Mus musculus: one gene and its partner. The protein of the gene in region 1 interacts with the protein of each later gene in a biochemical or structural test. Links are inferred from orthologs where the notes say so. Each region holds a gene or a part of one and is shown in the gene's direction. Other genes may lie near its edges.

The links.
Region 2: of the proteins of Rangap1 (region 1) and Uspl1, one has a biochemical effect on the other in vitro, tested with the Homo sapiens proteins (2 studies listed by BioGRID). The link is inferred for Mus musculus from reciprocal best matches to the Homo sapiens genes RANGAP1 and USPL1.

What each region holds. Positions count from the first base shown.
Region 1 is NC_000081.6:81,723,394-81,727,041, reverse strand, and holds part of Rangap1 (ran GTPase-activating protein 1), read left to right. Parts: intron 1-759; exon of another isoform or gene 760-859; coding exon of another isoform or gene 860-968; intron 969-2,409; coding exon of another isoform or gene 2,410-2,444; coding exon 2,445-2,556; intron 2,557-3,648. UniProt on the Homo sapiens protein: GTPase activator for RAN. Converts cytoplasmic GTP-bound RAN to GDP-bound RAN, which is essential for RAN-mediated nuclear import and export. Mediates dissociation of cargo from nuclear export complexes containing XPO1, RAN and RANBP2 after nuclear export.
Region 2 is NC_000071.6:149,201,456-149,205,103, forward strand, and holds part of Uspl1 (SUMO-specific isopeptidase USPL1), read left to right. Parts: intron 1-304; coding exon 305-434; intron 435-2,813; coding exon 2,814-2,939; intron 2,940-3,648. UniProt on the Homo sapiens protein: SUMO-specific isopeptidase involved in protein desumoylation. Specifically binds SUMO proteins with a higher affinity for SUMO2 and SUMO3 which it cleaves more efficiently. Also able to process full-length SUMO proteins to their mature forms.

The sequences.
Region 1 (3,648 bases):
CCCGGCAGGCTCCCAGCTATCTGTACACAGGAGAGTCTTGTGCGTGGACGCTCTGGGCTTTAACTTTTCTCAGACTTTCCTTGGTGCATTTTTTATGTTTATCTGGCTGTTCATTTGTAGTCTTTACATACCGTTTGCTGGCATGATAGCACACACCTGTAAGCCCAGCACTGGGAAGGCAGAAGCTGAGGCCTCTCTGACTTTGAGGCCACCTTGATCTACAGACTGAATTCAAGCCAGCCAGAGATACACATTGAGACCCTGTATATGAATGAATGCATGAATGAAGTTGTTTGTTGGGGTTTAAGGTATAGTTAAATGTGAGAAGTCTGGGGTACCATCCCCAGTACATACCCACACATACACCTGTCCTTTACAATAAACCAGTAAATAACTTTACTTAAAAAAACAAAAAACCTGTTTTCCCTGAGTTCTGTGAGTTCTAGCAAATTAATTGACCCCATGGGGAGAGTCATGACAACCCTAGTTTCTAACCAGTAGATCAGAAGCACAGGTAAACACACTGGGGTTCGTGGATGTGGGGTAGCGTTGTAGACTGGGCTCTCAGTTCCTGGGATCCCAGTGTCCAAACTGAATTGGAGGCTCGAGCAGTGCCCTGCAGTAGTTAGTTGCTTGCTTGATGTGGTCGCTGTTAGAAGTGTGCCGTGAAACACATTGGAGAAGCTGGGATGTTTTCCACACACAGATCTATTGTGATGGCGGGCGGCTCTTGTGATGTAGGTACTTCTGGTCTCCTAGGAACCTCTGAGGGGCCACTGTGGCAAGTGCAGTCTCTGGCCAGGATTGAAACCGACATGCAGTGGCCTTAGCCTTGTGTGCCTCCCCTAGTCATGCCAGCATGGGCAGTGGGGTGTTCCTTGGGATGGATGACCTGGATCCCATAGCCATCTGTAGCCTGTTTGAGGAGTGGGACCCTCAGACAGAGCGCTGCCAAGATGATCCGCCAGGTGCGTGACTCTCGGGGCAGCCGTGCTTGGGGCTTGACTGCCCTGCACTGGGTGTCCCTGCTGGGGCAGTTTGGAGAGGGGCTTGCAGGACTTGAGCTCTCTGCCACCTTTCCAGACTGTTAGTTTTCTAATGACATATTTATTCATTTATTTCTCTTGGTGGGTTAGCTCTTGGGTTCTTCTCCATGGCAGGAAGGGGGCGAATCCACAGCCCTGACTAGAGAACTCAGGGGACACTCCACACACACTTTGAGGTTATCCTTGGGATATCAAAACCAGGGCCTTGGGGGCTGGTGAGATGGCTCAGTGGGTAAGAGCACCCGACTGCTCTTCCGAAGGTCCAGAGTTCAAATCCCGGCAACCACATGGTGGCTCACAACCATCCATAACGAAATCTGACTCCCTCTTCTGGAGTGTCTGAGGACAGCTACAATGTACTTACATATAATGAATAAATAAATCTTTACAAAACAAAACAAAACAAAACAAAAAAAACAAAAAAACAAACAAACAAAAAAAACCAGGGCCTTAAGTTTCAAGAAGAATCCTTTTTACAAAGTTTTGTTTTGTTTTGTTTTGTTTTCTTTGTTTGTTTTTTTGTTGTTGTTTTTGTTTATTTGAGACAGGGTTTCACTTTGCAGACTAGGCTGGACTTGAACTCACAGAAATCAACCTGCTTCTGCCTCCCATGTTCTGGGATGAAAGGCATAAAACACTATTTTTTAATAATTTTTAAAATTTTGTGTACATAGTATTTTGCCTACATGTTGGATACCCTGGAACAGGAATTACAAATAGTTGTGAGTGCCATGTGGTTGCTGGGAATTGAATGCCAGTGCTCTTAACTACTGAGCCATCTCTCCAGCTGAACCACTATTTTTTTTAAATGTGTTGAGTATGTTGCCTTGCATATAAGTCTGCACTGTTTGTCTACAGTGCCCACGGAGGCCCTAGCCAACATAAGGATGCTGAGAGTCAATCTCTAGCTCTCGTCAAGAGCAGCCTCTCAACCATTGAGCCTTCTTCCTAGCCCTGTAACTGTGTGCATGATGCATGTGTGAGCACTGGTTGTGTGTGTGTGTGAGCACTGGTGTGTGTGTGTATGCATATGAGTGCAGGTGCCCTGAGAGGTCAGCCGTGTCTCATCTGGAGCGGAAAGTAACAGGCATCTGTGGGTGATGGCAATCAAATATAGGTTCTTTTCAGTCTTCCTTCCCTTCTCTCCCAAGAATCTTTTTGTTTGGTTTTTGGTTCTGGCTTTTTGTTTTTTTCGAGACAGGGTTTCTCTGTGTAGCCCTGGCTGTCCTGGAACTCACTCTGTAGACCAGGCTGGCCTCGAACTCAGAAATCCGCCTGCCTCTGCCTCCCAAGTACTGGGACTAAAGGCGTGTGCCACCATACCTAGCCCAAGAATCTTTTTTTAATGCAGTTTCTTCTTCAGTTTACAGACCTGCAGGGGAGCCCGCCACTGCAGCCATGGCCTCTGAAGACATTGCCAAACTGGCAGAGACCCTGGCTAAAACTCAGGTAGCCGGAGGGCAGCTGAGTTTTAAGGGCAAGGGTCTCAAACTAAATACTGCAGAAGATGGTAAGTTCCTGGGCAGGTTGGGGGGGTGGGGGTGGCGCACGCGCGTGTGCGTGTGCGTGTGTGTGTGTGTGCTGCACATGCTTGCTAGCCCTCAGGCTTTCTAAGCTACCTCATCTTTATCATTTGTCCTGGCAGTCCATTTTAACAGGTAGTGGATTTCTGAGTTCGAGGCCAGCCTGGTCTACAGAGTGAGTTCCAGGACAGCCAGGGGAACCAGTCTGGAAAAACTCAAAAAAAAAAAAACAAAAAACAGTGTCCTGGTCTATGACTACTGGGGGAAGGGGATTATTTTTCTTTTGACAGGGTTTCATTAATGTATACCTCAGGCTAGCCTTATACCCATCCATGTAGCTCAGCCCCTGGCTTCAGGGCTGGGCTCTTCTCACCCCTTCCCATCCCAGGGCATCTGTCTTCCTTGTGGCAGAGGCCCTGAGGGAACTGCAGTAAAACAACAGTGCCCTCGTGGGAAGTTTCAGTTCCTGCAGCCAGGCATCCCTGGGAGATGGACTCAGGTTCCTGTCTCCCCATTCGTGGCCAAGGCTTAGCTAGCTCAGAGAACACTGAATCGATTGCTGCTTCCTAGAAATAAAGGTGTCTGTCTGCCATCAGACCTTGCGAGGCCTCGTGGGGTTCTGGCCCAACCAGAGAAACTGGTTTGGACTTGCCAGATTATCTCATGCACCTGTAAATTACTCCCCTCCCAAAGGGAACCTTTGAGCCTTAGGATGGTGCAGATGTCTGTCCCTAACAGCTTCGCGGTACTTTGAAATGGACAGATTTCTCACTGGACACTCGGCCCCTCAACTTCACCGGCTGGCTCGGTTTGGTCCGGTTCCTTACTTGTGTTGTGCTAAGATTAAAGGCACACACCACTATACCTGGGTTTGTTTTGTTGTTTTGATTTCGAGGCAGGGTTTCCTTGTGCAGCCTTGGCTCTTTGGGGATTTACTCTGTTGACCAGGCTGGCCTCAAACTGGCTACAAGGCAGAGAATGGCCTTGAACTCTTAATCCTCCTGCCTCTACAACCCTCAAGTGCTGGGTTTGTATTATCATCTCTGTGGGAAGTGGGTAGAAACACTGCTGTTCTATGA
Region 2 (3,648 bases), on another chromosome or scaffold:
TTTTGTTGTAGTTTAACAGTGTTACAGTTCTGAGGACTTTCTCCTGAGGACAGTATGGGTCTCACATGTGGCATTCTTGCCATTCTTGCCTTATGTTTTCAGAACATTTCAGAAATAAGAGACTAGCATGGGAACTGAGTTTATGTTGGTGTGTTGACACAACCTTCCTCCAGGCCTACCCTGACTGGCTGACTCTGCCAGTCTGTGTTCACACATGTGTGGAGGGAGACTGGACCATATGGATTTCCTTTGTTCTTGCAGGTCCTGACTGTTAATCGTTCTTCTTTTCTTTTCTCTTTTGCAGGTGACATGGAAAGTCCTGTGTTTGCACTTCCTGTACTGTTAAAGCTTGAACCCCATGTTGAAAGCCTCTTTACATATTCTTTTTCTTGGAATTTTGAATGTTCCCATTGTGGACACCAGTACCAAAACAGGTCAGTGTTGATTGCTAATGGATTCTTTGTGCTATAATGGTTTTCAACAGTGTACTTTAATAGGTTTTGCACATACATTACACTGTGTCTCAACACTTCCACAGCAGTTTACCCTCCACCCCCTTGGATGGAGACAAGGTTGCAATAGCTCAGGGAGAACTTGGCTGTGTAGCCCGGGTTGGCCCAGACTATAGGTTTTCTGCCTCAGGAAGCATCATGTATCAGCATTTCTTGGACCCCAACACACATTTGATCCTTTTCTAAGAGGGTCTATCTAGCTCAGTAGCTGGGGCTGACCTCAGAGTGCCACTTTCTTGCTCAGCCCTCTGAGTCCTGACAATGGAGGCATGGATCACTGCGATGTCTGCTGTGAGAATGTCTCACTAGTGAGGTTAAAGGGACAGTTTGTGACACAAGAGGCTAGAGTCAACTTGTTGGTCTAAATTAACTTAAAAAAAAAATCTATGGCTTGAAGAATAGCTAAAAGGAGTTGTTAATTTATTTACTGGGAAGTTAGGAACAGATGAGATTAGCACCCTTCACTCTCTGGAAGGTTCTTAGCAGGGCGTCTGCTCTGAAGTCCTTGGCAGTGTTTTGCCCTCTGTTAGAGACAAGGCTTTTGTTTGCTTTAGGCCTCCATCATGGATTTGCTCTTAGTGTATGGTGGCATTTATAGTGTTCAGGAGAGCGGTCAGAGAGGCTGGGTACTTGTCTGCCTCGCCGGTCATTGCTCAGTATTAGCAGGAATCAGGCTGCCCAGTGCAGCTCACCCACCAGCAAGCCTCAACAGTCAGCAGGTAAATGATGAGGAGCGAGCGAGCGGTGCATAGCGAGTCCGTGGGATCTGGACAGCAGGCAGAGCCGAGCCTGGGAGAGAGCTGTAGAGGAGACTCACACTAGGACTTGAAATACTTGTCTACGCCAAGGAGGATTCTGCTCCCAGATTTCCATTGATTTGTACAAGGGGTCAGGTTTTCTGTTCATAGTAACGAGTCAGTAGGAGATCAGGAGACCTCTAGTGTCGTTTCTTGCCTCTGTGATTCCCTGTGCTAAACTCCCTAATCACTACGTGTGTTTTTAATAATATAAACAGGGCTGATGGTTAGAATCAGCTTAATTACAGCTTTTCTAGAATTCACAGGCTAGTGGTTTGACAGCTTTTCATTGAGTGGGTTGTGTGTGCCAGGAGTCACCTAGCCACTGAGAGTGATTTCTGTTGTGGCAATTCAGATGACTGGCTGCTTAGGAAAGTAGTTATGAACTCACTGGCGAGGCCAGTGACTCAGCACTCTGATCTTTCGGCAGCTCTGTGCATAAGAAGGAAAGTGGGCTCTAGCAGTGTTCGCACAGAGCTCAGAAAGCACCCAGGGGAAACCGGCAGCCACTTTGGTTTGCATCTTGTCTTTATTTCTTTAAAACCTGAAACTTCTTTAAACATTCTTTAATCTTTCATTCTAAAAAAAAAAAAAGCAATTTCAGAGTCAAAGCTAAGACAGGATGGCCTTTAATCAGTGTACGTTGGGGTTACAACAACTGGCTTCCTTCTCCTCTGACAGAAGCTAGTCAACTAGTCCTTTCATTTTAGTGCCTCTGGGTTTTGTGCCAGTATAAGGACTTGTATTAGGTTCCGTAGTTATATTTTTGGAGAGCATAAAAAAGCCTGGCCTTTGGAGGCTGGTGGTCCTGATTCAGACCCAGTTTATCTGCCACTCGTTGTTGTATGAAGGCCATGGCACTTGACACGGGAGAGTTGTTTGTCGGGGGAGTGTAATGTGATACTTGCTTTAATGAAAATGTTTTTACTAGAGTTGATGCAACTAAGATTTAGTATACTTGGCTGACGGTTGAAGATGGCTTTTAACTGTCGCCGTTTTCCAAGTGATTGCCCCCACCCCCAGCCCCCCAGCAGATGAAAAGTTTAAGTTTGTATCTGTTTGAAGACAGTACTCTCTTTGTTGTCAGTGATGCTAAGCCACTTTGCATCACAACTCAGCCTGAGTCAGACAGCCTGAGAGTAACAATGTTCACCCAGAGCCTCTGATGGCTCCTCACTAGGTAGCTGCCAGTACATTGGGTATGGAAGCTGGGGACTGATTCTACAATGTGCTAAGTGGAGACCAGGGGTGGCCCTGAAATAACCAGTGTGCTCAGCAGGGCATCAGCAGTGATTCTCTGGAGCATTAGTGGAGGGAAGCTCTGCTGGTCACCCTTCTGTGCATGTCAGTTGGTGTGGAGGCTCCAGTGTCTCTTCCGTGGCAGGGGAGGGCATGGCTGTGCTGATATGGGCGGGGCTGGGAGGCAAGCAAGAGCATGCAGTTGCACGTGTTAACTAACTCCAGCGAAGCTAGCTGAGGGATTCAAACTGTGCCTGTTTTTTAGGTGTGTGAAGAGTCTGGTCACCTTTACCAATATTGTTCCTGAGTGGCATCCACTCAATGCTGCCCATTTTGGTCCATGTAACAGCTGCAACAGTAAATCACAAATAAGAAAAATGGTGTTGGAAAGGTGAGTTTCCATTTACTTAAACATTTTTAGGAGACAGTGAAGATGCATGTACAGTTCCTCGTGTCGTGGGAAGGGAAGTAGTGAGCACCACTTACCCTTCAGAAGTTGGAGTGGACACTTACTTAGGGCCACCAGTTGCTTACCACTGTAAAAACTGAGGGTGGGCAAGCAGGACACAGTAGGCTTCAGGAGGGTGCTTAGTTTGTCTCTTGTAGTGTTTCTCTCATCCTGTTCCCTCTCCCATTGGGTGTACTTTTATGTGCATTTGTGTTTTACCTGCATGTATGTCTGTGTGAGGGTGTTAGAAGCCTGGAACTGGAGTTACAGACAGGTGTGAGCTGCTGTGTGGGTGCTGGGAACCGAACCCAGGTCCTCAGCAAGAACACTAAGTGCTCCTTACTGCTCAGCCATCTCTCCAGCCCCACCTGTGTGTCTTAATGTCTGTTTTCTTCCGGATGTCAATCAGCTTGCTGATACTTCATCGTCTTACAAGCTCCCTGCTGCTGGCTTCATTCTAAACTTCCTGCTGCTGGCCTAGGGTAGGCTCAGAGTTGCCATTCCGCTGACTCCTTGGCAAGCGCTGGGTCAGCTGTCTGTCTGTCTGCTGGGTCAGCTGTCTGTCTGTCTGCTGTAGGACTGGTGCTGCTAAGTGTGTGTACCTGGCCCTATCTGCTCAGGTGCTTGCATGTCCTTGCACTCTGAATGTAAA